Astyanax mexicanus: one gene and its partner. Each later gene encodes a partner of the first gene's protein in a complex. Links are inferred from orthologs where the notes say so. Each region holds a gene or a part of one and is shown on either strand. Other genes may lie near its edges.

Region 1 (16,713 bases):
GACATTCTTCACTGTCTGTACCTAGATTATGGGAACGTCTAGGATAGCAGATGTTTTAATGCTTAATGCTCTCTCTGTACCGGTGCACGACGGGTCAATTAAAGTTTACCCAGCAGCCCTAATTTATTTTTTAAGTGTGTTTGTTCTGATTCATTTAGCTAATATCAATTTTTTAATAATTTACTTCAAATTGGTAAACTGTTGCACATTGTGGACAATGTCACATCCCATACATGAGTGTATAATCGCACTGTTGAGTGGTATCAGCTCCAGACTCAACGCATATGCTTTGTGTCAGATGAGTTATTAGGACAATGCAATCACATTTTCCTACCTGACTTGTATGCTATGATAGGGATGTAACAACGCAATTTGTAGTGCGTCTCCACACAATATATTTTTTAGTATATAATATATATTTTACAGTAAAAAAAAAGTAATGAGTGAATGTGTTACAATCTTTTGTGTCCAAGACTGAGTCATATAAATTATTAGGGATAAACAATTATATTGGAATTATATTGGCCAATATTATATATGACCAATATTTCAAATCAATACTTGCTGATGTATTTATTGTATGCTGGAAAGGACTCAATGATGCTAGCCATGCTACTGTTGGCCAATACTGACTGTGATACTTTAATAATTATTGATTTAAGATATTTTTTATTAATTTTAATGTTATTAAGATAAACCAAAGTGTCTAGTCTCTAAGTTATAAATGTGTATTTTGGCATTGGCATCAGCAGATTTGTATATCTGCAAAATCAATTCCTACATCGGTGCATTGAGACAATAAATCCAGCCTAATCCAATCCCATAATCTTAATCATGTTAATAGTAAATATATAACATAAAATATGTAATTAATGTCATTACCTGGTAGATGTGTGTTTCGCTGGTGGCGTCCACAGTCTCCTGAAGCTTGGGGGTGTACACTTTAATGTCTTTTCCACAGAAGGCCTTACACGAATCTGCCAGGTCCTGGCTGGCCTCTGGAGGCCCGTGGACTATGACCAGCTGTCTGGGCTTCATCTGGTTTATAATCTTCTTAATGGAGTCTCCATCTGAGCGGCCCTCGTAGTCTATGTATGTGACTCGAGCTCTAGTGACACAAAAATGAACAGCCCTTGTTAAAATTTTGCAAACGTTCATTATAAAACCCTGCAAAACACCATTATTTTATTATTACTTAAGCTGCTTAATTAATTTTGTTGTTATTCTTTTATTATTATTATTATTTAGTGTATTTTGTTTTAGCATACTCCTGATTGTACACATTACACAAGAGGACAGCAAATCCTGTCTAATTTCTGTACTTCTTTTCATTTTAAAATTTAATTAAAACTTAATTAAATTGCCCCCAAATTGGCTTTTCTCTTGTTCAAGTTCTCCTATAAGACGTAGTACGTGGTTGAATCTTAGACACATATTTTACACAGACAGACATGCAAAAGGACACCAACCTGATCTCCAGGTTCTCTGTGGTGCACGTACACTTGGTGGGGACGTCCGACAGGTCCTGGTCCATTGGCTCATCTCCATTAGCCATACCGGACTCCAGCTTACTCTTCTCCTCCTCTGTAGCCTGCAGCTCAGGAACCAGGAACTCCTCTGGCCTGGGAGCAGCCACAAAAATGGCATGAGTGATAGAACAGGGAACACGGTTCCAGACACAGACAGCCTTAGGCATCAAATTATATTAAAAATAGGTGTGCACATTTCTGAACCTGGAGATCTACCTCTCCACCCCTAACCTCAAACATCTGATCCAGGTTATTAAGAACATAATAACAGGTGTGAGATTCAGGTGTGTTAAACCTGAAATCTCCAGGATGGTACATCTTTAAGGACCAGAATTGAGCACCCATGTTTTAGAACATCATGATGATTTTCACACATGGCCATATGGGTTTGGATTTTTTTTCTGCTTTAATAATTAAAACATTTATTTAAAAAAGGCATTTTGTGTTTACTTGTGTTGTCTTTAACTACTATTTAAATTACTTTGATGATCTGAAACATTTAAGAGTGACAAACATCCTGAAGGGGCAAACACTTTCACACCACAGTAAATATGACATAATAAAACAGTCACTGTTTTGTATAAATGAATAATTTTTGTCACTAATGCCATACACAAAAACTGCTTTTTCTGTTAAATATTTTCAGTTGCCAACTCCTTAATTTTAGTCCATTAAAACACATACAGAACACAAGACAAGTTTAGTTGGTGCTCTGTTTAAGGAGCCTACAATAAACTACTTACTCAATAAATGTCCCTTGTAATATGTAACGTAATAAAGACTTTAGTCTGACAGTTACACTGGATCTGCTCTCTAACAGAAGAAGAACTGTATGAAAGTTTTTTACAGGAGCATATCTATATCTATCACTTTGTGTGTTACCATGACCTCCTTTTTTAAACTGTGTTTCAATAAGGTGTCTTGATGTTTTAAATGGACCCACATAGTTTTAGAAGAGGAGCTGCAGGCCTTACAGCAGCTTACCTGATGATTTCTCCATACTCATCCCATTTGATCCTCTCCTCGTGAGAAGGAAACATGGGGTAGGATTTCTTGGCCTGTTTGAAGAAGCCTCCCTTGCGCCCCCCCTCGCCTTTCATCATCAGGTCATGGTGTTTGGTCTTCCCCATAGCAGGCTGCTCCAAATCATCCTCCATATCACTTTCATCACTCGAGTCCACATCGACCCTGAGAACAAGAAGACAGAAGCATTAGCAAACATGAGACACACTCTCCTCAAACCTTCAGTAATCCCTGCTGGACTTGCCGATGTGGTTTCTGACATTTTTTTAAACAAACTTTTTGACTGCTTGAAGCTTCTGCACTGTACTCAAACTTCATAAAGAAAACTCATAAAAAGGGCTTTTTTTTACGGAATAAACACAGGCAACACCCAACATGATTTACAGGGTTGAACAAATGGTTAATGGGGTGAATGACAGATCGTGCTTGGATTTTTGTAGGTTTATAAACTTAATAAATAAAAAAATCAAGAAATCTCAGTCACGCGTTACCTAGCAAACAAATAATAACTGCACACTATGACTCACTCTTTTGCTTGTTCAAGTTTCTTAGCAGCTTCTTTCTTCATTTTCTCCTTCTCCAGGTACTCCTCCAGCTCACGACCTTCCAGTTTGGTCCTTTTCTTTATCTGTTTTTAAAAGAAAAAAAAAGTTAGCTAACAAATTAATTCACTGTTGCATTCAAAATAATTAGCAATACCACACATCTGATTTTATCATATTAAACTAACAAACTGATGCCCGTGTTAGATTTTAGGTTTTCTTTAAAACATACACATTTTTCCTATTACAAATTTAAAATGCTATTAGTAGAGGACTCTGGGAAGTCATGAAAGGACGTTATGAAAAACTGACCAGCAATATCACTGGTAAGATAGTTATAATTTTTATGGAGTGCAATGTGTGAAATGTTGAATAAAAACTTTTTCTTTTCACTCCATTCTAATGAATCTGAATATAGAAAAATCTAAACAATGTATTGGATATTGCAGTTTAGCTTGGTCAGAAGTTTAATTTATCATTAGGTAGAATAAATTGCTAATCTATATTAGACCACCTCTTTTTCAATTTATTTGGTGTCCAAAAAAATCTTCTATAGACTTTAAAATATGGCATGTAACATAAGAAAAACTTGAAATTATATAAGCCAAGTACTGCCTAATTCTTTTTCCGGACAAAGCTCACCTCCAGGTCTATCATCTTCTCTCCAGGATTGTCTATAAGGTATCGGGCCAGTGTACCCGGTGTGGTGCGGTAGGTGAGAATGATGGAGTTTTTAGAGTCCTGGCACCACTGGATAAAGAGTTCCCTGGAAAAACCTGATTCCAAATCAGGCTGGCTGCACAGAACCACTTTAGGACTGGGCACTCGAGCCAGATCAGACAGACCGTGACACAGAGAGAGGTGACGGAACTGGAAGGGGTTGTTTCTCTTGTCTTCAAAGCATCGCATGAGCTTATCACTCATCCACTCCACCTATTAGGAAAAGAAATAAATGCTAAATTGTACCACAAAGCAACAACCTCTGCGATCTCAGCTGAGCCTTATAAGGGGATATTTTGATACAATTTCTACTCGCAAGTAAAAACTATTAAAGTTATTTAAATACATGTAAAATATGTAAGAAACATTTACTTTAACAATTATTTGCAATAACTTAAATTTTCTTTATTATAAATATTGTAAATCTGTGTTGTGAATATAGCTAGTAATTATGAAAATTATTGTCAATAAATTGATTAAGACTGCACAACAATACTCATTCACAAGTGGAAGATTTAGTCACTTCTAACTGATTTGCCGTAAAGTGTGAATAAAGCCTGAGTTCCAGAGCCAATGCTGATCTAAGCTGGACTGGATCTCAGCTGTGCTACAGCTGAATGTATTAAACTTTGCAGGGTTGTAGATCTCTTAAACAATGGACAGTGGAGCTTGGTTGTGAAGTATGTCAGACCTGGGACTTAGAGAACTCCACAACATTGTAGCTGACATTGTTGAGCAGAGTGAGGGAATACACCCCCAGCCCTGCATCCTTGGTCCTCCAGATTTGATCCAGCAACTGAGCCAGCTCCAGCACACGTCCAGCTGTATCCACAGCGATCAGCACATTGCCATCACCACGAAGAGTCTCCATAATATTAGCTGTAGGAGGAAAAAATACAGCTTAGCTTCACCAATCAGCCATTTTTAACATTGCATAGATAGACTGCACTGAATGAAAGCATGCTTGGTAACATAATGTATGTAAACCTAATTTTATTTTATTTTATTTTATTTTTAACTTTGTGACAAAATGTCTTCATTATTGTCAATGTCAATGTGTTAAGTCAGTACATTACTGGTTCTAATATTAATACAACTATATGTGCTGATATAACCAGTAATTGCAATATTAGATCCTTAAAATCAGTAACAAACAAATAATGGTAAACTACTTTGTATCACTAAAACACTTAACAACAACACTTTAGGTACTTTATGAAGGTGGCTGAGAGGCTCAAGCACTGTGAAGGTCAGTAAACTTACTCAGGAGCTGCTCATCACGCTGTTTTCTGCGAGGCTGAACATAAGTGGCATTGAAGGAATCAGTAATGAGCAGGGAGGGTCGGCTGATTGACTCGAGGGAACAACCGTTTAGATGACTGCAAGATTCAAGCAAATAGTAAGTCATTTATTTAGCAGAAGCAAAATATCAATGGCAAACATCAGCATGTTTAAAACGTTTAGCCTACTTACATTTCTCTCTTATGATTAAAGTCCACAGCATAAATAATCTCCTCCTCTCCATCTTTCACTATTTTCCAAATGGTCCCACCAATCATATGACCAGCAGGAAGCGGAGTGATGGATAAACCATGACCCTTTCCTAGAAGAAAAAAAAAAGATATGAAAATACAACAAGTGAGAAGTCTGCATGTATACGTAAATTTGAAACATACAAAGTAGGGCTCTCGTTTCACCTATATTAATAATATAGAAATATACAGATTTCTCCGACAACTTTAACAAAAATGTATGTACACAACAGACAATGTGCCATATACACTATTTTATTTATTTATTATTTATTTAACCGGGCAAGTCATTAAGAACACTTTCGGGTGTGAACTGTTAACAGCAACAGTGGAAGAAAAACGTTATCCGCTTTATGCCTCTAAAAGCTTAATATAAAATGTTCTATTTAAATTTTTACATTGACTCAATCCATGTGCTGGCATTCAACAATTTTAAGACAAGATAATAGCTATCCCTTAAAGCAATAAAGTTAACACTTAATTAAAAAAAATTGTACAGTGAATTTAAGAATTACCTTTCAGATTTACAATCTGTGAGTATTTTAACTGCTGGATCTTGTCAAAAGCTGAGTCCACATCATCTAGTGTGAATAAGGAAAAGTCTTCTGTGTTGTGACGAGACTGCAAGAAAGAACATCTTAGCAAAAACAACAATAACCTGTTTGTCAAAATGTCAATTTGCCAGAACCCTCTGTCCATACCTGATAGAGGTCATACATAAACATCTGTCCCATCTTGTACACAGGGATGGTGGCATAGATGGTACAGTTGAGGCCCAGTTTGCCAACTGCATAGGGTAAAGCGCCCAAGTGTAGTGGGTCTGGATGAGAGAGAAGCACTGCATCGACTTGGTGCACATACCTGCAAAGCAACAGGGAAAACATTCTGCATTCAAATACAGCTGATAAATTAAGCAGTGCCTATAGAATCCACCAATGGAGATCATGAGCATCCACCTTTTCATAGCATCTATGATGTCCATGGAGAAGCTCTCGTCCCAGCCGCAGTCCAAAAGAAAGCGGAACTCATCTACCTGTAACAGGTAACAGAGAGCAGACTCCTCCTGCACGCCGGATACGGCAGTCAGCTTGATGATGGAGGTCATCTTCAACACAAAGTTTTTTCACACTCTAATGCGGAGAAAACAAGAAAAAAATGTTACAGCATATAACTTCCTACACAAACTGATTAGACTGAATCAGTCATAAAAAAACAGCTTTTAGATTTAGCAACAATGAACTCTTTACAGGTTACAGCTCTGTAAATATACTAGTCACTACACAGCTCAACAAATCCCAACACAGATAACCTAGTTAGCTAGAGAACTAGCTACTAATTTTGGTGTTAAAAAAAACAATAGGCTACATTGTTTACTTCGCTTTTATTAACCTATTATGCTAAAATGAAGCTGGACTTTATACTGTGAGCTTCTAAATAATACGGCTGAAGTGGACATTTCAGTTCCACCTTAAATAGTACACCTGTTGGACTGTTGAAGGTGGAAGCTCACAGTATAAAGTCCAGCTTCATTTTAGTTTAGTAACAAGGCAGAGTACACACTGTAGTTACTAATTTTTAAACACCAAAACTAGCAGCTTGTTCTTGAACGATGCCTGTTCAGTTTTGTTGAGCTGTGTTGTTACTTCAGCACCCAGTTTTTTTTTAAAGTACAATGAGGAACGAACAAAAATGATTACAAAAAAATTAAAACATCATAGTGGCTACTCACTGCACATACTGATTAGACTGTATCAGTGATAAAACCTGCTTATCCTACATATTTAGCAATCACAAGGAGTAGCTATGCAAATATACAAGTCACAATACAGTTTAGCAAATCCTAAGTTAACTTGGCTAGAAAACCAGCTACTAATTCTGGTGTTTAAAAAACAATAACTACAATTTCTGCTCTGCTTTGTCAAGAAATAAAATGAAGATGGACTTTATCTACTAGTGCATCTCAAAAATTCCACAGAGTGCTCTATTTTAAGCAATCATTTATTGTATTGGCTTACAGCCAATGAAAACCCAATTGCTACTTTTGGCAGTGTGGGCAGTCCCGCTGGAAAATTAAATCCACATCTCCATAAAAGTTGTTAGCAGAAGAAAGCAAAGTGCTGTAAGATTTCGTAGGAAAACACTGCACTGACTTTGGATATGAAACAGTGGACCAACACCAGCAAATGACTCCAAACCATTACTGATTGTGGAAACTTTACAATAGACCTCAAGCAGCTGTGTGCTTTTCCTACAGATTCTGGGTCCTTGATTTCCAAATGAAATACAACATTTTCCGATAGTCACTGATGGTTTGGAGAGACATGTAATCTGGTGTGTTGGTCCACTGAGTTTTATCAAGTCCAAAGTCAGTGCAGTGTTTTTCTGGAAAATCTTACAGCACTTCATGCTTCCCTCTGCTGACAACTTTTATGGAGATGCGGATTTCATCTTCCAGCAGGACTTGGCACACTGCCCACACTTCCAAAAGTAACAAAGGGTCTTACAAAGGGACACTAATTTTGGGGTTTTCATTGGTTTTCATTTAACAATAAAATAAATAAACGCTTATAATAGATCACTCTGCGGGTAAGCTATATAATATAAGTTTCACATTATATGATGCAGCAGCTAAGTTACATATAGAGTGAAACGGGTGTACAATTTAAAGTGGAACTGAACTGAAATGTCCAATATTAAGCCCATTTCAGCCTCGTTATAAAAAATACAAAGCACAGGAAAGGTACTATGAGTTTCTATTGTGTATTTTAAAACCGAAAAAGCAAATAAACCTGAATACTTGGGTTTAAAAATAATCTTCAACTAAATACATTTTACCGGTCAGCTCACAATAACATCAGGTTAGCTAAGCTAGCTAGGCAACCAGCTTTGAATCAACTGAAGGCTAGCGTTAGGTTAGCGAGCTAGCTAACAGAAGCTAAAATGAAGGAAAAAAAAGTCATATTAACGAACAGCAGCATACCGGTCGAAGAACTAAAGAACTTCACATGAACGTGTGTCCCGATAAACATGTCCAAACCGCTCTCAGCGTCATTTTTTATTATATTTAGAGGAATTTCACTGTTCAATCTCGCCGCGCTGCGCCATTACAGAGCAGGGTCGGCGGAGCGTACCACTTACTGCGTGTTTTTAGGTGAAGCCGAACTAATTGTATTACATTATTTGCGTTTTAAAATAATACGATACATGCTGCAGATCTACCGTTTATCACACAATTTTAACTATATTTAATTTTATCGACGAATATAATTAAAACAAAACTTAATATCAGCAGAAATAAATAAGTCGTCGCTCCCCCGCGTTTTGAGAAAGGTGGTAGAGCTCAGTGCCCTCTGAGCAGCTCCACAGCGAAGCGACAGGAGACGAGGAGAAGGTAACGACACTTTTGTGATGTTTTTTTTTTTCTGTAATTATGTGGGATATATAGTGCTTTTGTTCAGGTAAAAGTAGTAATTGAAGCAGTCGTAATTGTGTAGTTTGTTGAAGCACACAGTAAACAGCTTCCTATGTGAGAATTATGGCTGTTAGGCTAGGCTAGGCTAGGCTAGCTAACTCTGAGGCTAGTACAGGGGCCTGCTGGTGTTGGTGCTGTTGGTTGGTGAGGTCAGTTAGTTAAACCAGGCAGGGGTATGATGAAGGGTTGTGCTACTAAATATCAGATTTAATTTATTTAATTTATACATATTTGTGATTAATCTGGTTTATTTCTATAATATAGTCCCAGCAAGGAGCCCTAAATATAACATACTAAATATCAGATTTAATTTATTTAATTAATACATATTTGTGATAAATCTGGTTTATTTCTATAATATAGTCCCAGCAAGGAGCCCTAAATATAACACACTACAGTAAAATAAACAAGACGTCAACCTAAAATGTCATTTATCTGTATGAAACAGTCCTAAATCATGTCTGTAAAGATCTGAATGTCAGTCATGATCAGACGTGTATAAAGTACTAGAGATTTAGACTTTAGTAAAGGTACAAATTGATAAATTGCTACTGCTAAGTTTCCTTTAGGATCAATTATCTATCTATCTATCTATCTATCTATCTATCTATCTATCTATCTATCTAATCAAATGCTTTATTAAAAATAGTGATGAGTAGAAGTTGAAGTGTTCTTTAAAAGGGTAACTAATCCTCCGATTTTTATTGACGCCACCCTCAGTTTAAATTTGGAAAAGGCTACAAAAAAAAAAAGAAAATAGGAGGGGGAAGTGTGGGAGGGACACTGGGTAATGTATGGGTTTAGGGGCGGGGAAGAAGGGAAAGCTGATTGGCTAAGCAGCAGCAGTAGCGTGCTTCAGATACTTGGACTTATTGATTGTCTGATCTGCGTATTGTGATGTAAAATATTTATTTTTTTCGTACTTATGTATTGTTTATTACTAATACATAATACATGTATTATGTATTATTTTACATTTTAAAATAGTTTATTCTAAAATGTAGTACTCAAGTTTGGAAAGTAAAAGTAAAGTACAGTGCTGTGTAGTTATTACTAGGGATGTCAAACTCAAAACTCAAAACAAAAGATGAATTGATTCATTTGAATCTGTGTCTCAATACATTAATTCGAAGTCTGTATCAAAACAAAAACAAAAAATCATGTAACTGTCACAAATCAGTGTTCATTATGTCACAGGTTATACATTTTTTGAAATCCTAAAATAAAATGCAAGCAGTTTTTCCCCCAAATGTTTCTAAATGAGTTTTTCAAAATCTGATCTGTGTGTTGTCAACATGACACATGACAACATTGTCACATTTTTTAAAGAGGTTAAATGCATTGTAACTCTTCTTTGTAAAAAGGCACAAACCTTGCACTGCTTTATTCTTCATTGCTTCTAATGTGCCATCATTTAAAAGTGCCTGATTGCCTACCAGATGTCACTGTGGTGGATGATGATTCAAACATCTCACGAAATGTAACCTTTTTCCAAATCAGTTGGTTCATTTGATCTTTCAAAAGCCCCTCTTTCATTATCAGTTATTACAGAAAGCAGTTTGAATGTCATGTTGCAGGCAGGCAGCAGAGTAAAAGGCAGAACGGGAGTATAAGATCAGCATCATTTGATTCACTCAGTGATGAAGAGCTTCATCAAACCAGTAACGGTGCAGAGCATCCACTGATCTGGATTCTTATTTTTTTTTATAATTGTAGTATTCAAAATATGTAGTTAAGTAAATGTGGAAGTAGGAGAAAAAATTATATTCCAGTAGATACAGCATTATAGTAGTGAAGTACTTTACTACTTTATTACTTTACATCTCTGTCCATGATCCAGATACACCAATATTCATATTAAGAGTTAATTTGCAATTATAGCATCTCTGATATTTTTAAAGGGCCATTATAATGTAAAGCAACAACAGTTTGTACCACTCTCTCCCCAGCTCATACTGTACATGATAACAAAGCTGAAACATCACTTGTTTTAAGCCTGTTGTCTTTGGGGCAACGCATCTACATGCAGCCACCTTTTTTGAACTAACAGAAGTTTTACTCCACCAGTTTACTCATTATAAGAAGTTTTATAAAATTCTACCCAATGTTACAATACACTCACAAGACTCATTAACTACATTTTATCATTCATTTCAAGCCTGTAGTTGAAAGCTAGCTCTATTACAGTCAGTAGTGGAACTCATTGTACTCTCATCTTACAGGCATCATGGTGAACTTTGCGTTGTTGGTGCGAGAGCACTGGGTCAATGTCCTGGTTCCCCTGGGATTTGTTGTTGGTGTCTACCTGGACAGGTGGAATGATCAGAAGTTGACAGCATTCAGGAACAAGAGTGCGTTGTACAGCAGGTGTGTGTCTCACATAACCAGCACCAAGGTGCACTTACTCAAATAATGTATAATTAATTCACTCTATCATTTACTTTCACATACTCTTTATTTGTTATGAAATTATTTTGATGTGAGCTAGCAAACACTTTTTTTTATAACAAACATTTTGTTCTGATAGATAAAAGTTTATTAAAATAAACTAAACTGATGAAAGGTCTGCTCTTTCAGGGAACTGAAGCCTGGTGAGGAATACACCTGGAAGTGAAGACTCCCTCTGCATATTTATTGGACCTCCTGCTCTGTTCATGTTGACATTCTGTTGTCCTAAGCCCTGTAAATGACTTTTCAGTAACATTTGTGATGTAAAATATATTGATCCAACAAAACTGCTGTCAGTGTTTTTTTTCTCCCTGGTAGTTTATTGTAATTTCCTGCGTCTGTTTGATGCAGAGTTTAATTGTACATTTGTACAGATATTAAGCTACACGTCAGCTTTTGCATATCAGTTAATTCATGGTTTTATGTTTCCCCCTAATGAAGGTGCATACACACTCTGCCCAATACAAAATACAGTTCAAAAGCTACCACAACTGTAAATGCCCTATGTTTGGTTTGGCTGCCTTGTATTAACTGGCTAATGCAAAGAGGAGGCAGAAGCCAAATGTTACAGCCAAAATAGCAGCTATTTTATATATACGTTTTTTAACCCCTTAACATCACTGGCTAAGCTAGCACAAAAGAGATACAAAATCACACTGGCCTGTGGCCACCTTAATGATAACTTCAGAATTTCTTTTTTTACATGTGCTGCATCTTGTAGAAATCAAAAAACCACACGTTACTGTTTTTTGTCATTTTATTTTATTTTTTGCTGTGAGAAATGGCAGTGTTTTATTTCTCTATAATGTAGACAGGTATAAAGCAGAACAGAGAACACATGTATATGATCACACATGATTTCATTAATAATCAACAAATTAACTTTTCACTTTGCCTTTAAAGATTCAGATGTGTGGATTATTCCTTTCTCAAACAGCGACTCTGCCAGTGATATCTGTGAATAGTAAATACACAAAATTAAAGCCATTGTAGGTTAAAAAAGAATGTAACATTAATGATAATGTTCAAATCTAAAAGTTATGAACATTTATTAACAATACAATACGTTATGCAAATTAATCTTTGTGAAGCTACACTATTCAAGTTCTGATGAAGGATTGTTTTACCTTGTTTTCTTCTGTATCACATGGTAAACTGGAGACTGTGATAAACTTTGGGTAAGCATGAATGAGGAACTCCAGGGCATCTGTGTGCTACAGATTCATAAAAATAAAGCAACAGCTCAACTTTCTTTTAGTTAAATACAATAGCATTAGAAATCTAAAGTATCATCATATTGTTTTTTTTGTGTGCAAAAGTAGAAATGTTACCTCTTCTTTAATCTCCATGCTCTTGAGTTCTTGTTGATGGTAAACTCTGGAGTTCTCAGTGGTGTAGTAAAGGTGAACGGCTCCACCATCACCACACAGCCTGTGGAGAAGGAACATACCCGTGTTAAATACGCAAAGTCTGAATCTAACATGGTTAATCACAGTACAGTGTGGTTATCTATATGTAAAGATGCTGGATGTCACTTTAGTTTTATTTGAGATTTGTATGCTTAAGAAATTAAATTTAGAATTCTAAACAAATGTTCTCCATTGTCCTATCCTGTTCTTTAAAAAAATGTATTGAATTCTGTAGAGCGGCAGAGAACTATTAAACTAATTAAAATCACTTGCTAAATCAAACTTGTGTTATTAGATGAAACAGCAAAATTACATTTCAGTCTCATGTAAAATGTTATCTGTGAATTCAATATGTACTGGTAAACATGAGGCACCATTACGATTTACCATGAAAACCCTGTTAATTATTTTACAAAGTGCAGTGATTAAACAGAAACTAAATATGAAATAGGCAAAATGCAAAAAAGCTCTGCATCCAGTCTACAAAAAAAGGGTTTGTATTAGGTTACTTAGATATAGATGTTACTATATCAACTGATATTGATTAGCTGCATATTATTTTATTTACTTAATATTTCTTTCCAATGTAGCTGAGCCAGCTAAACCAAACAACCATGTAACAAACAAATGTTAAACCAAACAAATCATTCTTAACAACTGACAATTATTTTGTTTATTAACATACCGTAACACTGTTGGTTATGATAGAATGTAAATAAAAGCCTCTTGATTTGACTTCTTCAGAATAATAAACACTTTGAATGAACAGAACTGAACCGAGAGACACACATGTTGATAACTCACCTAGCAACCCCTGCCCGGATGAGTCTGATTTTGGTCTGACCCTTCATTTGAACAGTCACATTCACAGCTTCTCCATCCTCCCACCGTGCAGGAGCTCCATACACACTGCTGGCTTTCTCCTCTACACACCACACAAACAGACAAAGCTGTGTTACCTCACACTTCACATTCATATTTGAAGATTACACCAAAGGTAGATCTGATTATGCAAATGTTTGAGCTGTAATTCATTTTTGAATGTTCAGATAATCATCCTCCAGCTACAGTAATGCACTGTTTATGAGATTACATAACATCACAAGCCAAAGCAGCAGACGGAGTATTAACAAACACCAGAGAAAAGGTGCTATATTACACTAGTTCTAGCATCCCTGCAGTCACTGATTCGTCCTTTTATAGTGGATCAGCATTGTCTTTTACTGCTTTCATGTGCATTTAAAGTAGGGATGGAAAATACGATACAAATTTTAGTTGTATATGTTGTATGTATCTTTTGTGATGCTTTGCCTCAAGTTTCAGTTGTCTTTTTTTGTAGACTAAAATTGATAGTCTTAAGTGTTTATTTCCCCCTTTTTAAGCCCTTCCAGAGTTTTCAGATTGTTCTGGATTAAGTTACTTCCAAATATTTTTCTGATTGTGCAGACGCCCGAATTCACTTCACTGCTAACATTACCAGTGAAGATTAGCAAGCCTGTTCCATAAAGGACCATTAAGGATTATATTTACTGTTGTAACTCATAACATGATCATGATGCATCATCAGATATTAAGGAAACATGTTAAGTTTAAGCTCTGACAGCTTATATCAGCAGAGCTTCAGACAGTATTTTCTTATATGAACTGTGCAGTATGTCACAAAAATCTGTGTGTTCCTTAGCTCACTGTGATTCCCCCAGTCCCATTTCCACACTCAGGTTTGCCAGGTATAAACAGCACCATGTAAACAGTGTACTGTAGCCATGGAAACGGACAAGCTGGCCTTTTTTCTGCTGTAGAAGTAATCAGTGAGCTTCAGTAAGGTAAATCTTGTGATATGGCCTCTATATTTCTACTCTCAAACAGAGGCTTTAGTCTGGCTCTGTGTTAACTTAAGAAGAATTCTGGTTTATACATGGACATGCCTAAAGTCATGGGGCAGAAACTAGTATAGAATGTTCCATGATTTTTGCCATATATGTCCCATATAAGCTGAAGACTGCTGCACTGACCTGTAGGATATGCATGTGGGTCTCCTGCTTTGAATGAGGATGTGTTTTGCACATGGAAATTTTAGCCAAACACCACCGTTCACAATCATTACCACCCACTGTGCTATTCACTGTGGCTTGTAATGACTTCCATTATGCATTCTCTAAATACCTTTTTTTAAACTTAAATAATTTATTTCACCTTGCCATTAACGCACAATTTTTTTTCCTCACAACTTTAAGATCAATTAACATGCTGCTATCCCTTATCTCAGTGTATTTGATGTTGTACATGTGTACATGAATATTTGATAATAACCTCGAATGAGTTTCAGCCAACAAGATGATGATTACAAAAAAAAATAAAAAATTTAATCTAAGTAGTAAAAGTATAGACCTTATTAAGGGTTACCTGCATTAAGCATGGGTGGTAGACAGTCATGAAGGAATCCCAAGGCTTTCTGATCCACAGCTGCGTCCACTGGAGCGTAAGACACAAGCTTCTTCATTAAGCCGTCCATGTGGGAAAGAAATCTGTCTCTGCGTGGATCCTCCTGCTTTCACACACAAACACACAAAATGAATGTGTAAGTGATATGCAGTTAATTAAGACTTTAAACATATTTCCCTTGTGTGCATGGATGCATCAGTGATGTATTGGGATTAGTCAATAAGCCCTCACCTTGTCAGAGTTTTGAACTCCCATGAAGGAAAGGTAATCAAGCGGCAGCCCTTTTCGAAACTCCACATCCTCCTCCATCGCCATTTCCAAAGCTGCTGGCATCACCTGTCAATCACAAGGGATAAACATAAACACAAGTTCCAAAGTCATTAAATAAAATATTTCCACATCATTAAATGTTAAGCATGACACTAGACAATCTCTCTGCTATGTTTTCAGTTCATTTGACTGTGCTTTCAGTTCTGCGGCCTATTAGATTTAGTACATTTCTGGACACAGTGGCATATTTTGGTTTAGCACACTATTCTTAATTATAATTTTCTACCAGCTCTTTATGCATCACCTTAATTTAACCCACTAAAGTCCACAAATTTGCTGGCCATCTCAAAGTCTCTATTTATATCTTTGCAATAATACAGTGCAGAAATATGGTTCAAATATTTCCTGATCATATGGACTCTGCTCTTTTAAAGGCATCATTCCAAAATAGCAGGTCACTGTCAACCAGAGCTATAATGCTATGATGAAGGGTTACGGATTTCTATTGTGCCCCAGAGCCTAATTTTTAATTTTAATAGTTTATTTAACAGGGACAGTGTACATTAAATAGCATTACTGTAAATGCACCAGAATTAGCCTAAAGGCTATTTTTCATCCGTTGTCCCCGGACAGATCTGGAAATTCTTTTCTATGCTGAAGAAGCATGTTAAATTAAATGGCTGCATCTAAAGTTATTTCACTTTTAAACTAAACAAATCAATAAGTGCTTAGATATTTTATGAGAGTCTTTTATTCGGTTTCACACAAACGATAGACAGATATGGACCAATTAAGAGATAAGAGGAAGATGACAGAGACACACAAATCTATCAGTTGGAGAGGAAGAAGGCAAGTTCCTTATTGGCACTGCATTATCAGCAATATGTTAACAAAAGCATCAAAAGTACCGCATCTGCAAATTTGTCATTCTTTTAAGGCTAATAGCTTATGTTTTTTTCCTGGTTTCTGACAGATTCAATCAAACAGCAACTTGCAATGGACTTTTTATTATTATTTATAAAACAAAGAAAAATCCAAAATTGAATATTTCCATTTAAGCTCACCTTAAGTAGCAGGTCACCCCAGCTGTTCCTCTGATAGGAGGAGATGGTAATGTGTAAAGAATGAGCATCTGGGAGACAGTTGCCTTGGTGAATGAAACCCCGTGGAAAATAGAGCAGGTCACCTGCCTCCAGAACCACGTCCAATATGGGCTTTCCAATCTCATTCTGACTGAAATTAGCTTCAGAGAGCAGTAGAAATAAGAATTATACAAAATCACATTTCTTCAGTGTTCAGTTACTAAAACTTTACTTAAAGATTGAC
Region 2 (17,278 bases), on another chromosome or scaffold:
TTAAATTTATAAGACATGAGTGTTTTGAATAGAGGTGTATATAGCTAGTAGCTTAATCTATACATTAAAGTTGCACTTTATTGAAGTAAAATAAAGGCTCACATTAAAATTCAGTTGTACACATAAGGCAACATAACTAAATTCACTGATGTGAAATGCATTTAGGGTGTGGTGAAACATAACTAGTATAAAACTTGTGTTGAATAGCTTACATTTGCTTGCCCTCAGCGTTCTGAATTTCAGTGCTTTTAGCTGATTCTCCCAACAGGCTTACAATGCTAGAGATAGTGATAAAGCATTCACCTTGCAAAAAAATTACTATATTTACACCATTAACAAGCTCAGAGTACCTCCACACTTCATTGGTAGATTTGAGGGCCCTGATATTCAAAACAGGGTACTGAATTAATTTAGCAATCTATTTTTGTTTTTCTTTTGCAAGAGACTCCTCATTAAAAATATATATGAAAAAAATAATTGCAATCTGTTCCCCTACCTTACCTAGTCACTTGTGCTTGTAAGTTGAATTGTTGTGACTTAATTAAAAAAAAAAAAAACATTTTAAAAACAAACTACCAAGTCGAAATATTTTAGAATGGGACCTAAAGTTTGTTAGGCTCCTTTATGACCTTTTTAGATGTACAATCTATCATCCCATTTAGAAAATCACCTTAAAACAGTATATTTGATTAATCAAATAAAGTCAATTAATGCTTCCAGCCCTACTATAACTAATCTTCCTGACATTGTTTTAATGAATAAAAACTGTATACTTCATTGAGCTTCTTTTCTGACCCCAGTGCCCTTGGCTGAGAGGAGGTTGATGGATGTCAAGCTGGCCGAGCTTCCAAACTGGCTCGGTAAAAGGGACTTCACCCCAAATGGGGTCATTCGCTCAGTTCGTGGAGGTAACATGCTTCACTTTTAGGAACCTATGAACATTTTCAAAAGACAAGTATATCTGTCTTTCTAATTGCCTATATTAACTGTTGTTCATCCCCACCCCTCAGGCTATGACCGTTACTTTAACAAGTACATCAATGTGAAGAAAGGAGGTATTGGTGGTATTGCAATGCTCCTGGTTGGCTATATCGCTCTGAGTTACGCGTGGGAATACGATCATATTAGTAAGTAAATATTTAAATATATAATCTGTAATTTTCTGTTTTTCAGAAAGAAGCAATTTAATTCCTGAATTAGCAAAGTATAGTTGATTACTGATGATTAGTGTGTTTTTTTTTTCCCCCTACACAATAGAGCACGACAGGTGGAGGAAGTACCACTAAGGCTTCTTGGACACAATGGACCACCGGAACTGTCCGCTGCAGTGTGACCAGCACACCTTTATGCTTTCTGTGATACCTGTATAAAGTAATTTGTTGTGACCAAGAATTAAACTAAGATTATTAAGTATATCTTTTGTCCTTTCTTTTTTTTATATAAGTGTGTACATATATAGTGTACATGTGGTTTCACTGCATGTATGGGTTAAAGCCAGAGATGTATTGTAACAAAGTAGAACTACTTCACTACTGTATTTAGGCACTAAAATGCTGTACCTACTGAAGTTTTATTATAATTTCTCCTTTTTTTTTTAACTTCAGTTCACTACACATTTTCCATGAGTTTCATACTATTACTCCAATACATTTTTATGTGCTGCATCGTTTCTCATTAAAAAATTGTATCAATAAAATCAGAGTGGTAGATGCTCTGCACTTACACTGTGTTTGATAACGCTCATCATCTTCGAGAGATCAAGCTAAACTCTTAAGACCTCGCTGCTCCCGCTCTCCCGTCTTTTACTCTGGGAACTTTCCACTGCATTTTGTAATAAATTCGTATCACACTCCTGTACTTTTACTTTTAGCACTTCAGTAGTACATTTGAGTGAATTATTTATTGCAACACTTGAGTACAAAAAATGTTAAATACTTAAGTACTTCCAGTTAAGTGTGAAGCTTAAAGAACAGTTCAACTTCTACTTAAGTCACTTTTTTTTACTAGAGCACTTGTACTCTGTTTAAAAGTGGAGGCCAAGCACAAATTGTAAATATGCTTGTCTTTGTCTTCCACTAGTCCATCCCCCTGGCCTAAAATGCCCTTGAGCAGGAATCCCAACTCCAAACTGACCATACTTTGTGCTGGACATGGATGGAATTTGGCCTTTGTCTTTGACCTGTACTTGCAGTAAACACACACACAGTGACCTACAGTGAGGCTAAGAGCCTGGAGTGGTGTGTAATGCCATTCCTGCGGTGCCTGGGGAGCAATAAAGGGCAAGAGCCTAACAGTGGGAGTAATGGACCCACAATCTTGTCATCAATAACCCAGTTTTCTAAGTGCTGAGCCACCAACCTACAGGTGGCTGTAGGGGGTTAAATGTGGGGGTTGAACTGTATTGTAATAAAAAAGGTTGGATAATCTAATATGAATCACTGTTAGGGCTGCCCGATATTGGGAAAAAAACAATTCTTGCAATGTACAGCTCTGGAAAAAGATTGATGATCACAAGCCATCAAACCAAACTGCTTGAATTTTTGCACCAGGAGTGACAACGTTTTCCAAAAGCAGTGTGTAAGACTGGGGGAGGGGAGAACATGCCAAGATTCATGAAAACTGAATAAAACCCAAGGTTATTCCACCACATATTGATTTCAGAACTCTTAAAACTTTATGAATATGAACTTTTCATTGCATTATTGGAGGTCTGAAAGCTCTGTATCTTTTTTGTTATTTCAGCCACTTCTCATTTTCTGCAAATAAATGCTCTAAATGTCAATATTTTTATTTATAATTTGGGAGAACTGTCCACAATTTTTCCCAAAGCTGTATATTTGAACAATAAAAAGTATAAGTTTCACCTGAACTTACTCATAAGTCAGTGAGCCAACATGACATGATATTAATATTGCAATCTGTGACCAACATTTGAACAAAATAAATGATAATGGGCAGATGTAATCTGTCTTTGGTATGTAGTGTTTGGTATTACATGTAGTGGAAAATAAGTACAATGTTTTTTTTCTTTTTATTATCAAATATGACATTACACCTCCTGCAATGTTACTATTATTCATCTCCACACTGCAATCGATGGCAATGCTGAAACAATGCATCTTGTGCAGACCTAATCACATTGCTTAATACAAACTCTTCTTTATCAAAAACAGTATAATAACAATCACAGTGTTCTTGATTATTTCTTATGATCTTTATTAACCAGAAAGTACAAAATGCATCAACAAAACTACTCTATACTCCATAATCAAAATCCACCTGGATCCAGAAAAGAGACTCATCTCTTTGAAAGAAGGCTCACAACAGACTCTTAGGTAATTTTCAAAAAACGTATTGTGACTTGGACGTTCAAGTCCAGAAACTGATTCTCAAAGATGCGATCAAAAAAGGCCAGTGTGTAGCAGTGCGTGCTATCCATTAGTGGGATAGCCACATGTCTAGCCTTAGACATGTAATCCACGCAACACATCTAATTCAGATTAAGCAATTCAGATTAGATTAGGTGGAATTTCCCAAAAGAATGACTGAGACTTGAATTCACACTATTAAAAGAGATATCAATGAAAAAGAAAACACCACAGTAAGGGATGTGCTTTCTACAGCCCCATGATATTTTTATTTTATAATGCAAATTTTACTGGTCACCCTAAAATAGGCGTTTCCCCTCAATATATAATAATAGTGAACTCAGAATGAAATCAGAAAGATTTGTTTGCATGAATCAAATCAGATGGTCTTTATTATTCACTGAATTCTACCTGCTGAGATTATCTGCCCTCTTAGAGAGTCACTCAGTGCACGTGTTCCTGGTAAGGAGTGTAAACTGAAGTACCCTCCAAAAGCTTTCCAGCAAAAAGCTGTCGTTCCAATCCTCATAGCACTTGTGAGAGGAAATTCCAGCAGCTGCAGATGAATACTACTGTCCACTGAGAAATGCCAGGTGTCCTTTTGTGCATTTGTTGGCATAATGCCCCTTCTCCCCACACTGCAACACAGTAGAAAATGACAGGTCAATAAAAAGAACATTAAAGTATTTAAAGTATCATTAAAATATCACTATAATCAGCAATAATATACGGAAGGGAGTGCTCTAACATGTAATATTGGCACTGCTGTGCTGCAGTCGTAGGCAGAAGGTCGGAACGAACAGTGGTATAGTATATATTATACCACAGTGAGTTTCGCCCCTGCAATGTGATTGGCTAAGGGGCTTTCTATGAGTGCCATTATCAGCCGGTAATGCACTGCAACCGAAGCTCTCAGTGTATTACTCCGCAACATACCTAGCAATGATGCAGCACTTACAAGCCAAACAGCGCAGCTACAAACAGAGCAGCAATAGAACTATTTCAATTTCAAAAGTGATTATAACCAAACAGATCATGTTTTCTCCTCTTCTTTAACTTAAAATCTTTCAATAAACAAAGATAATGGAACTGTAGTATAATCACAATAATGCACTCGAGGTTCGTGCTACAATGTGTACAACGTGCTACAACTAAATCCCATTAACCCAAACAAAACAGAGAGCATGTTATGAACTCCAAAATGTAACTAAACATTGTGGCAGTAAAAGCATCATGCTCCTTCCTTTACGGTTAAACTGCAGTGACACAGACACAAAAACACACAAGTATAAATACCCAGTAGGGGTGGCCGATATGGCTCTAAAATAATATCACAATATTTCATGGTATTTTCACGATAACAATACTTTTGCCGATATGACAAAACACTGAATTAGAAAAAATATTTTGAATTTTATTGTTGCATGCAATATGATTTGGTTAACTGAGATATTAAAAACAAAAATAATTTTATTAGATTTGTAACAGAAGTCAATGATCCAGAATGTCATGATACTAATAATGCATTCCATATATCTCCATTTATCCAGGATTAAAATAAAATAAATGATACTGGATGGATATAATCTGTCTCTAGTAGATATATAAAGGGTATTTAAAACAGTGTAAATTTTTCTTTTGCTAAAAACTGCAAAAAAGTAGAACCCTGATGTGATAATTAGGTAATTAGGGGTGGGTGATATTGGACGATATTTCAGGGTATAATATCGTTACCGATATTCTACATTTTTGGTGATATTATCATGAACAATACGATATGGCACACCCCTAATACCCAGAATAGCATAGGCCATTTGCACATGGAATATATATGTAGACTCAATGCATTATTTAGCTGTAAGCCACCCTCCATACCTTCCAGTGCCCCAATATCATAATATACTTGTCCTAAAGCATAACAACAGTTTTCTAATTCAATGTAAGTGTAAGTTTTCTACCTTGTAACATGTAACTTGGTCCAGAGGTCGAGGGCCGCGGGAGCCACCCATGTGGTTCTGATTCTGTGATGGCCCATGCATGTAAGGCATTTTTTGATGGAAATTGGGGTTGTTGTTGGAGTTGGTTAACTGGATGAGTGATAACGATGATCTGTTCATATTCGGCATGTTCTGCTATTTGGAGAAAAACAACAAAAACAAACAATTAGTGTTTCTGCACTGTAGTCATGCACATTTCAAAGTCATACACATTCCAAAGTCCCAAAAAATTAATTAATGTTTACCTTCTGCTGAGTCTGAGACTGTTGAGGTAGTGGTGGCTGCTCAGTCGTACCCATAGGCAGCTCAAAACGAGGGCTGAAAAATGAATTGATCAATTAAAACTGACTCAATACCAATCAGGTTTTCTTAAACAATCACAGAATGAATTAAGACAGAATTAATTTAAGAATGGACTGTACTCACTGCATAAATTTGCACCCTTTGCCCTCAGGACAAAAGCCTACTAGGTAATTGACACAGATGACCCTTCTTGTGTGTCTGTGTCGACAATCCGGACCTTAAATGAGAGAACAGGACAGTTCACACACGTTTAATACGTTATAAATACAGGAAGGTGTATTATCCTGCAGTGAAAGAATATTTCTTACTCTCCAACATATATTAGATTATTTTATTTCAGCGTTTCTGTGTGAAACATTAAAAAAAAAAAAACATAGATATACAAAGATAGATATACTCTAGAATGAAATAATCCAATATGCCATGATCTGTCATGAACAATGTGCTTTGTTTATCATAGGTTGAGTTAGGGGAAATTAGACATATATAATCTGTAAACAAAATCTGGACACTCTGGAGCACCAAACACAGACACACGGACATCAGGTCCAATGCTAGACGCCAACTAGAGAGGTATAAAGTCCCCCAGCACTGGGCTCTAAAGCACTGGATAATTTGGATAACCTGGATAAAAGGTCAATTTTGTATAGAAACCTCCACACACACAACATGTAGATGACATTAACATACAACATAGATTGGCATTAAGACACAAGATAAATCATCTGTGATTGAGAAGGAGAATCACAAACTGTGCCAAACACTGAACCTCCGGGACCCCCTGATGTATGTCCACTAGAGTACACAGACTTACCATGTTTGCAGAATCCCCGATCATACCATGGACAGTCTTTAATCTTAGATTCTGGGTCAATGTGCAAGAAGGGGCATTCTTTATTACTGCACTCACCTGTCAAATATAAATAACACATTTCAAAACAATAACAAATCACATAAGCTAAAACATATATCCATAAAAGCCCAGATTAAATCTGTATCATAGCCTCATCATCATACTTTCTTATAAACAGACTGCTTTTAAAGCTTTTAAATGACAGTAGTATTTAGGTGTAGATTCTATAACAGTAAAAGCTGCTATAGCTATAGAGTATATAGGTGCAGAGTTTATAAAAGTAAAAGCTGCTATAGCTGTAGAGTATATAGGTGTAGAGTATATAACAGTAAAACATGCTAAAGCTGTCGGGTATATAGGTGTAGAGTGTATAACAGTATAAATGTGCTACAACAAAAAAACAATTTGTGAGTACATTTTCAAGTAACCATATGTTAAGATTTTTTTTTTACCAAATTTGGAGTAGAAATAGCACTCTGGCATCTTCGTCATGTCATACTCATGTAAAAATTCACACTGGTCCCCTTTCTTGCATAAACCTCGCAGCCAGTGTTTACACACAACTGTCTTTTCTCCACTGATGTGCCGAAAAGGACACATTCCACCTGCAAAAGTAACACAGATTAATTATGTCCAAGCTGCCCCAAAAAAGCTTTTGGGTTATTTTTATAAATAAACTACCACTTACCTTTCAGACAAGCAGCTTTCATGAAAAATTCACACACAGCGGCACCGGACTCTGTACAGAGAAACACAGAGTTACAGTAGAACAAAACTATATACACAATCAGACAGGTAGACAGAGAGGTAAACCAATAAAACTGGTTTGGCTGTGGAGTATAAAATACACATACATAAATCTGTAGAGTACATATTTGGGCAAAGTATATAGCTATTAATCCTACTATAGTTTTGCAGTATATTGCTTCACAGACTGCTTTAGCTGCAGTGTATATTACTGTAAAATATACAAGTATGAAACCGGCTATAGCTGTAGAGTAAATAGCTGGTGGGTATATATAATCCTCTATCTGTATCTTAGAGTAAATTTGCTAAACTGTAGAATATATATGAGTAAATCTACTAAAGCTGTAGTGTACATAAGAGTAAAATCTTTTATAGCTGTAAATGGAGCACGTAAAGGACAGGAGTATATATGTGTAAAGTATATAACAGTATAATGTGCTATAGCTGTAGAGAGAAAGCAGGTAAAGGACAGGAGTATATAGCTATACAGTATATAACCATAAAAGCTGCTATAACTGTTTGGTATACAGCTGTAGAGAGGGAGCAGGTAAAGGACAGATGAGTTCACTGTATATGTGTAGAGTATATAACAGTTAAAGCTGCTCTAGCTGTAGAATATTTAGATGTAGAGAGGGAGCATTTAAATGACAGGAGTATATAGGTGTAGATTCTATAACAGTAAAAGCTGCTATAGCTATAGAGTATATAGGTGTAGAGTACATAAAAGTAAAAGCTGCTATAGCTGTAGAATATATAAAAGTAAAAGCTGCTATAGCTGTAGAGTATATAGGTGTAGAGTATATAACAGTAAAATGTGCTAAAGCTGTCGGGTATATAGTTGTAGAGGGCAAGCAGGTTAGGGACTGGAGTATATAACTTTAGGTGTAGAGTGTATAACAGTATAAATGTGCTATAGCTGTAAAATATATAAAAGTAAAAGATGCTATAGCTGTAGAGTATATAGGTGTAGAGTATATAACAGTAAAATGTGCTAAAACTGTTGGGTATATAGCTGTAGAAGGCAAGCAGGTAAGGGCCTGGAGTCTATAACAGTATAAATGTGCTACAGCTGTAGAGTATATAGGTGTAGAATATATATAACAGTATAATGTGCTATAGCTGCAGATTATATAGGTGTAGAATATATATATAACAGTATAATGTGCTATAGCTGTAGAGTATATAGGTGTAGAATATATATAACAGTATAATGCGCTATAGCTGTAGAGTATATAGGTGTAGAATATATATAACAGTATAATGTGCTATAGCTGCAGATTATATAGGTGTAGAATATATATATAACAGTATAATGTGCTATAGCTGTAGAGTATATAGGTGTAGAATATATATAACAGTATAATGCGCTATAGCTGTAGAGTATATAGCTGTGGAGGGGGAGCAGGTAAATGACAGGGGTTGAACTTGAGTTATCAGGTGAACTGAGCGTTGTTGTTTAACTGGCTCAGTGAACTTACTGTCCATCCCTGGAAACGGTAAGGGCTGAGCGCCGAGCTGCTGCTCCACAGCGATCTCCAGATCAAACTTGAGGTGATCAACGTTGGCGATTAATTCCTGCATGTTTAATCTCTTTTCTTGTGCTTTTTAACAAACTTACAGCACTTACAGTCTCCCCCATACACAGCCCTGCAGCTCCTGCTAACTGGCTAAACGCTACACGTAGCTTGCTAGGCAAAAACCTACCAAATTTAACAACAAGGCTGTGTGATATAGGAGTTAAACCAAAGCCACCAAGCGCTACAACATGTAAAAACTCCTAAATCCTCCTTCAGGAGCAGCAGTTTAATAAACCATAGCGATTATCTATCAGAATATTCCGCTAACTAATAAACACAGCAGCGCCCCTCGCTCCGCTCCCTCCGCGCACACTCACAGCCCCGCTCCTCCGCCAGGCCGCTCAATCAACCCCAGCACAACCCAGAGAACCGGGTCGCCAACAACCGCACTTCTATAAGATTTTATCAACAAAAAAACAATTTACAGTGTATTTAAGAGGGTCTTGATTTGCTAATATAAATCATGTATATGCTGGGATACCATACAGTCGCAATATAGCCCAACCAAATACTCTGTTATTGATTAAACAGTCCAATGAACGCTTTTAACGGAAGCAGCAGTAACAGACGTAGGGTCTGTCCTAAACCGCACACAGCTGCACTACATAGCCTATATAAGTAGTGCACCACCCCTAGAAGTGCACCGACTAGTATAGAACATTAAGCAGCTTAGAGAATCTTAAGAGAGTGTGGTTTGGGACGGACCCCAAGATCCACGTTGTTTAAACCAAAGCAGCACAAAAGTCTTTTTCCAAAAAAGCGATTTGACCTTATAAACCACGTTTTTAGTTAAGTAAGTAAAATAAAGAAAATATTAATGAATTAAAAAATCGTTAGCTATATATATACTATTCTTTTATGTCTAAATTTTTATATTGCTGTACTTGTAGCTTTGGGAAGAAGAGTAATGTATTTCAATCCTCTGTATGTTCTGTACATGTGCAGTATTGACAATAAAACTGAATTGAAAATAGATTTCTTTATATTTTATATTTTTAAAAGGAAAATAATCTGCTACTGCTGCTTTGACATACTACAAAACATTAAATGTTGCCTGTGCAAAAAGTAAATGGTAAATGTGTTTAATATGTTAAAATCAAATAGAAAATAACGTTAATTCCTGTGCTTTAAAATTTTTACTTTTAAAAAAACATCATATTGTGTCCTTTTGCATTTTGATTCTTTAGGAATACATTCATGCTGGGGATCTCCTGTTTTACCAAACACAGAGATGCTGATGGATTCCAATCAGATGACCAGCAAAAATAAATTTAACCCCCACTAGAGAGCCACATAACAACACAGAACGTATTGTCTTGTCCACTAAACCAGTTAGAAAGACTTTTCCTTATGGCATGGTTCATCATTATGCTGGAAGTAGTTATAATAAGATGGAAAATTATGAATTTATATAAATTTTTTTCTAAACTTTAATCTTCATGCTGACATTTTAAAAAAGACAGTTCCTATAGAAGTTAATTAATGTATTTTGTATTCATGTTTCATTGTACTGATGACTGGTAAATAGTTAAATGTTCATGTAATTGACAATTCAACAGTATATGTAATTCTTTATAAAATGTTACAAAAAAAGCACAAACATTTACAACAAGGATTTTATTTTACAAAATGAACAAAGTAAAGAGCACATTTTAAAGGTTTTTGAAGGTAATTTGAATAAAAATGACATTTTCACAAAATACACAAATGATGAACATTTCTACATTCACTTACAGACAATCCGGAATGAAAGCAAGCAGACACTTTTAAAATCAAAGAAATCAAAATGTTTTGAGCCCCAACATCCCAGAAATGAAATACAAGCCCTTGATTATCCGGAGCATCCTCTGCACCCACAGTGAGTGCACTCAATGATCCGACCCTGTTTGGAATAAATTGAGAAATCTATTAGACTATTAGAAATGGGCTGTAGGCTTTATTAAACATGATGTTGGTTTATAATAGTAAAAGGGATATTAATGACATGAAAACTAAAATCAGCAGCTCATTAAAAGCAACATCAAAATTGTACCGTACTAACTTACCACTTCGAGTTTTCCTTTAGGAACTCGACATATGCAGTTTGTGCCGAAGTTGGTGTCACGTGTCTGAATGCAGCGAAGGCAGCAGAGGTTTTCGTAGCCCTGTTTCTTCCACTTTGCTATGAGGTTTTTGTCGGCGTATCCCTCTCTTATGCAGTATTCATACAGCTCTGGGCACACAATACAGAAACACTTTTACTTCAACATCAATATATAACCTTTTAGTGTACTGCTAATCATACGTTTTTTTTATCTGCACTATTGACACTTTACTGTACACCTGCACTCCTGAACACTAGCCACTTTACAATATATGCATATTTTTATCCAGTATTCCCTTTATCTGCCGATACCTAGACCTCTTGCACATTGTTTTACTTATCACTGCAGTGTCTGTTTAGTTCCAGTAAGATTCGAATGCATATTTTAACATATTTTCTATTTATTGTCTACACGTGTATATTTGGAGGCAGTATTTTTCTTGTTTATATTCCCGCACTGTTCATAATAAGCTAATAATTGTAATTTGTAATTTGTTCGTGCCTTATTGCAACAAGTGAGATGTATAGCTATACCATCTAGAGCTAATAATTGTACTCATTTTGTTATACTGCACCACCCTTATTGTTGTGTGCCGTTTTGTGTCAATGGTACTGGCTGCTACATTTATTTCAGGATCAATAAAGTATCTATGCATGTATCTATGTATGTACATTGCTGGTCAAATCAGTTCAGTCAAATAGTCAAAATCAATTCAGGATTTTTTCATTATTTAAAAATGTTCTGCATTGTAGATTAATTCTAAAGTCATCCAAACTATAAAGAAAAACATGAAAGATTTGGTACACTAAAGTGTTAAACAAACCAGAATATGTTTTATATTTTAGATTCTTCAAAGTACCACCTTGTTTAAATGACCGATTTACACATCTTTGTTGGATTTTCTCTTTATGAGGTAGAGTCACCTGGGACGGCTTTCAGTTAACAGCTGTGCTGAACTTAAAAGTTAATTACTTGAATTAATGTGTTTGAAAGCATCAGTTGTAAAGTTGTGAAGAGGTAGAGTTGATAAACAGTGAATAGCGCTATTTGAGTAATGTTCTAATCCATCCTATGGCAAGAAATACTCAACTAGGCAAAGAAAAAAACACTTTTAGAAATCAAAGTCACTGATTTTTTTACTTTGAAAGTATCACCAGTGCAGTTGCAAAGACCACCAAAAATATCATGATAAAATTGTATTTTGGTTCATTGTTTTTTTTTTTTTTAAACACTTACGTCTACCATATGATTCCTTGTGTGTTCCTTCCTTTGGATGACTTCGGTATTAATTTACAATGTAAGCAAAATAATAATAAATCAATAAATTAAATAAAAACATTGAATGAGAGGGTATGCACATATTATTTATCTATTGTCTATGAAGAGGTTTGCTACTGTTAACTGTAATACCAGACTGTTATTAACTAGTGACACAAAGGAAAGTATCATAATATCATTATAATTATACCGGGACTATAAATTGGTAAACTGGATATCTATACTGAACTCACCTCTACTGATGGCCTTTCTTTTGTAGAACAGGTCGAAGATATAGCGGCTCCGCTGGTGGTGAAGTCTGAAAATCGGCCACAGAGACTCCACTTTACGTTTTCCCTCATGAGGCTCAGTTTCAGCTGTGGATTGAAGGCAAAATGTTTAGCAGCATGTTCAGGATGAATTGAAGGCAGTAACCTAAAATGAGGGAACAAGAGATTAACAGATAACCCCACCCCCCCCCCCCCCCTTTCTGTATTCGATTTATTTATTTTTTCCTTTGCACCTAAAGTGACATCATGCAAAAAAGAATAAAGCATGGCCACAACTTTTTAAGATGTGGGAATGAGAGCCTGAAGCATGACCACAACTTTGGTGTGAGAATAAGATAAAATGAGATGAAAATGCTCCACATGGTTTTTTCATATATATATATATATATATATATATATATATATATATATATATATATATACACATATATATATATACACATATATATATATATATATATATATATATATATATATATATATATATATATATATATTACATTATGTCACCATAAGTGCCCAGAACCATCACCAGAATCATTTTCCTTTACTTGCAGTTCTTTAGCCCTTTCGGACCTGAATTATCTCCAGTGATGGAAAAAAAATATATAAGAATGCTGTAATACACAGAAAAGAAAGCTCTAATATTTTACAATAGAAGCTGCATAGCAAATAAATTCAATTAACTAAAATCTAAAACGTGTGTAACATTTATTTTTTTATTTCATAAACCAAAAAGAACATGGTTAAATATTGGTGTAAATCACATCAAATTACTAAAAACTAGCTGTTACTTTCACTCATTGGCTTTAGAACCACTGTTTTTCTAGTCTGCAGTGGATGGGGCCAAGCTACTGTTTCATTGCTTTATAATCTCGTTCATGGTCTATTCTGAAGGACAACAATGGATATAGGGTCTGAAAGGGTTGAATATCGCCGATTGTATGTAACATTATCTATAAACGTTCTTTAAACAGTAGTTAAACAAAGACAAAGTTAAGAAGTTAAACAAACAAACCCCGAACAGCAGCAGTAGTAGTACAGTTAGCTTTAGCTTGTTGGCTAAAAATACTGGCGTCGGGTCTGAACTCACCTTCCCTCATTTTCTGATCCAGCTCGTCTAAAGTCGGCTCAATCAGCTCCCAGCCGTCTGGTGGAGGCTTCCTACTCCTCTTCACTTTGGGCATGGCTTTAAATTAATGTTAAATTAAACAGAAATAGAGAAAAAAAACACAAAAGAGAGACGTGGGCTGTTTCGGCAGGGAAACACAGTACAGCACACTCAGCCCAAACTAGCCTAGCCTAGCTACCGTCTCTCTGAATCGGCGTCACTGAGTGAGGGGGGCCTGCCTGCAGCAGGATGGCTCAAAAATACGCGTAATCGAGCTGTCCTTCCCCCAAATCCTACCAGATTATCCTAAACACCCTCACCATCAGTTCTATTCGAGTCTGACCCCATGAACACAAACACTACCACCTTAAATCCACCTTTAAAACGCGAATAAATGAGTAGTTATCTCGTGTTAGCTGACTGTTGCTCAGGATTCTGCTCTATTGCATCAGGTTAGCGGGGTTAGGTGTCCCCGACGGTGCCTGTCTGTATATCAGTGAGAGAAGAGAACACAGGAGATAGCATGCTTGCCTGACTGATTTCTAGTTTTACTTTATTTTTTTGTCATTTAAGTTTAAAAGCTGATATCTGATCTCTTTAGTCTATTATTTTATATTTATAAACTATAATATCTGACAGTCATTTCTCGAAGCGAGAACCGACCATAACAGACCAGGGTAGCTAAACTTAGATAACCAGGGTTGGGTGACAAGCTTCTAATTTTAATTTCACAGCTTTTCCTGCTGTTTACATCCACAATTTAAGCTTTAACTGAAGAATTAGTGACTGTATAATCGTCAACATGCCTAAAGGAGGTAAGACTCTGCTTATACGTCGACTGTCAGTCAATAGTTACTTACTGTAATTACACATCTGGTTTAATGTAAATAGTTTTTTCAAATGTTTTTTTTCTGTTTGTGTAGTTATTCTTATTATATTCTTAGATTTGCAGTTTACTGTAGAGTTCTTGTCTTAAAATAACCATGTCACGTCAACATGAATGATTGACGTTTAGCTATCTGTACTATTTGCCATGTTGGGAACAGACTGTAAGGTATATATATATATATAAATTGCTAAGATTAGGGGGGAAATTACTGCACTTCTTCAGTCAGACCTCTAATTCTTCCTTTCACTGCTGAAACTAAGACATGGTCCAATGGTCCATTGTTAAGCTGAGTTTAAGGCGCTGTTGCCATGTGGTTTAGCCAGACATGCATCTTCCTGTACCAGTTTCTCCAGTTTCCAAGAGTCTTTTGAATGTGTAGAACACAGTATTCACTGCTCTGCTCTTCAAATCTATATTTTGTAATTTCTAACTATTGTGATTAAAGTGTGAATGTGCTGTGTAAGTGTGCAAATGCTGCAGTAGAGAATGCAGTAGCACCCTCTGTTCCAGCACTGCATTACTTCAGTCAAGACTTTGGAAAAATTACATTTTATTTTTAAAATCCATTTCCAAAGCTCAGTTTATTTCCATTGCTACTTACCAGCTGTTAGCTGTTAAACAGTTAATAGTTTTCTAAAATCACCCATTCTTTAATAAACTATATTTTCTTTCTTGTTTGTTTTTGTTGATATTGACCAATAGCTGATATCAGTATGGTGCAGGTTTTATGTAGAATGAATGGATTTGAAAATCAATCACAATTTCTATTTTAGGAAGAAAAGGTGGACATAAAGGCAGAATGAGAACATACACAAGTCCAGAAGAAATAGATGCTCAAATGAAAGCAGAAAAAGAAAGAAAGAAAGTAAGTTGCAATGTTAATTTTGCGAAAGTTACATTTAAGTTTACATTTCAACAGGTGAGTTTCCATCAACTAAATGCAATTCATTTATGTTTGCTTCTCAGCAAGTTGTTTTCATCAAACTGACTTTTTGCAATGAAAATAAAAAAAAATCCTTCAAAAGCCTTGAATAAAAGTATTTCACATATTAACCAGAAAAGGCTAAATGTAAAAAGGTTTTACGTCAAAAAGCCTGTCAGCTGACATTTTGGAGAGTTAAAACGTGTTTTTATTTGTGTCATGGAAACCTCAGATGGAGAGAAGTGATTCTATAGAGGATTGCTTATGTAATGTCTATATACGCAGTATTATAATAAACATATATATATATATATATATATATATATATATATATATATATATATATATTTGAAACCTTTGCACAGATTGAAGAAGAGGCAGATGGAGCAACAGTGAATGATGACAACCAAACAGAGGACAAACCTGCTGGGTCAGGTTCAGAGGACAGTGATGAGGAGGACTCTGATGTAAGATTCCGTCTCTGTTTTGTGTAGCACTCTGTAGCACCAGTTATCTTATGACGATTCTCCTTCTTTCTGTTAGAAAAAGAAGGGTGTGGAGGGTTTAATAGAAATAGAAAACCCCAATCGTGTCGCTCAGAAGTCAAAGAAAGTTACAGAGATTGAACTGGAGGGACCCAAGCAGCTCTCTAGAAGAGAAAGGTACGCCCTATAAAGCTGGATCAATAACAGATCCCAGATAACATGCCTATGTGGACCTGTATGGGTAGCCAACTAGGAACCAGAATGTTTTATACACAGGTTCCATGTTGGCCCCACAAATGAATATCAGTGATCGGACCGGGGGGGTTAGTCAGAAAACATAATTGTTTGGTTTAAATGATTTGGTCCTTTATCAAATTTTGGTTGCTGAATATTTAGTGCATTCCTAATATTGGGTAAATATAATCTGCCTCTGCGTTTAAGGAAAAATATTCCCTTTGTATTAAGCATCAAACAAACTAATGATGCTACTGCATATGATATTGCATGCCTTGTAACTATTGTGTATGTACATATTGCAATAATTATACAGAAATTATATATATTGTGCAGCCTCATCTGCTGTTATTGTTTTATTGTATGTCTTTATATGTAAACATGTCTGTTTACACTTCAGAGAAGAAATTGAAAAGCAGAAGGCCAAGGAAAGATACATGAAGATGCATTTGGCAGGAAAGACAGATCAAGCCAAAGCAGATCTTGCTCGGCTTGCTATCATTCGAAAACAGCGAGAGGAGGCAGCAAAGAAAAAAGATGAGGAGAGGAAAGGTAAATTCTTAAAGTTTGAAACACTTATATTGTAATATTATAAATGTTATATGTTTTTTTTTTAATTATTATCTTTTCTTTTCTTTGTGTTTTCTTTTCTCTTCAGCAAAAGAAGCAGCAGCGGCAGCAGCTGCAGCAACAAAAGGACTTCATACATTGTCCCTAAAATAAGACAGAGTTAAAGAAATATCAGAAACTGAACGGTTGTATTGACCTTGTGGGACAGTACAGTACACAGATATATTGACATTACTATTTTTGAAGACAGGTTTGATTGTGTTGTTCTGCTTTGTAAGAAATTACAATGCAAAGTTCCACTGAAAAGGAATTATTTATGCAGTTTGAATGCTAACTTTTAAAGTAGGCATTTGATAGTCAGTCAGTGCTTAAGATTGATGCTCCAGCAGAGGTCGGGGGTGTTTTCACCAAAGTGGCTAATTTACAATGCCTAGATACTTTTACTCTGATACTACATATATATATTTATTAACCTATTAAGTCATGTAAAAGTGAGTTTTCTATCTGCGCTCTCAAAGTAAATTACTGTAAGATGCAAAATTATGATAATCAGTTTTTTTTGCTGCAGGTGAACTGGAATTAGAGAGATGT

Evidence for each region.
Region 2: cpsf2 (region 1) and cpsf4 share a complex: the UniProt entries of both Homo sapiens proteins name them as parts of the cleavage and polyadenylation specificity factor (CPSF) complex. The link is inferred for Astyanax mexicanus from reciprocal best matches to the Homo sapiens genes CPSF2 and CPSF4.

Annotation. Positions count from the first base shown.
Region 1 is NC_064408.1:84,773,097-84,789,809, reverse strand, and holds the start of cpsf2 (cleavage and polyadenylation specificity factor subunit 2), read right to left. Parts: upstream 8,494-16,713; 5' UTR 8,327-8,493; intron 6,477-8,326; 5' UTR 6,452-6,476; coding exon 6,303-6,451; intron 6,208-6,302; coding exon 6,048-6,207; intron 5,968-6,047; coding exon 5,862-5,967; intron 5,418-5,861; coding exon 5,288-5,417; intron 5,194-5,287; coding exon 5,078-5,193; intron 4,694-5,077; coding exon 4,506-4,693; intron 4,028-4,505; coding exon 3,737-4,027; intron 3,181-3,736; coding exon 3,080-3,180; intron 2,718-3,079; coding exon 2,514-2,717; intron 1,623-2,513; coding exon 1,470-1,622; intron 1,109-1,469; coding exon 883-1,108; intron 1-882. Other genes in the region: NADH dehydrogenase [ubiquinone] 1 beta subcomplex subunit 1, read left to right, coding at 11,046-11,185, 11,396-11,432; riox1 (ribosomal oxygenase 1), read right to left, coding at 12,153-12,221, 12,394-12,480, 12,598-12,697, 13,480-13,600, 15,079-15,220, 15,349-15,453, 16,452-16,630. UniProt on the Homo sapiens protein: Component of the cleavage and polyadenylation specificity factor (CPSF) complex that play a key role in pre-mRNA 3'-end formation, recognizing the AAUAAA signal sequence and interacting with poly(A) polymerase and other factors to bring about cleavage and poly(A) addition.
Region 2 is NC_064410.1:54,220,079-54,237,356, reverse strand, and holds cpsf4 (cleavage and polyadenylation specificity factor subunit 4), read right to left. Parts: upstream 9,400-17,278; 5' UTR 8,850-9,399; coding exon 8,747-8,849; intron 7,261-8,746; coding exon 7,210-7,260; intron 7,127-7,209; coding exon 6,974-7,126; intron 6,579-6,973; coding exon 6,483-6,578; intron 5,886-6,482; coding exon 5,792-5,885; intron 5,684-5,791; coding exon 5,611-5,683; intron 5,501-5,610; coding exon 5,327-5,500; intron 4,007-5,326; coding exon 3,938-4,006; 3' UTR 3,200-3,937; downstream 1-3,199. Other genes in the region: atp5mf (ATP synthase subunit f, mitochondrial), read left to right, coding at 801-908, 1,011-1,127, 1,258-1,286; protein BUD31 homolog, read right to left, coding at 10,677-10,727, 10,891-11,057, 12,441-12,563, 13,570-13,663. UniProt on the Homo sapiens protein: Component of the cleavage and polyadenylation specificity factor (CPSF) complex that play a key role in pre-mRNA 3'-end formation, recognizing the AAUAAA signal sequence and interacting with poly(A) polymerase and other factors to bring about cleavage and poly(A) addition.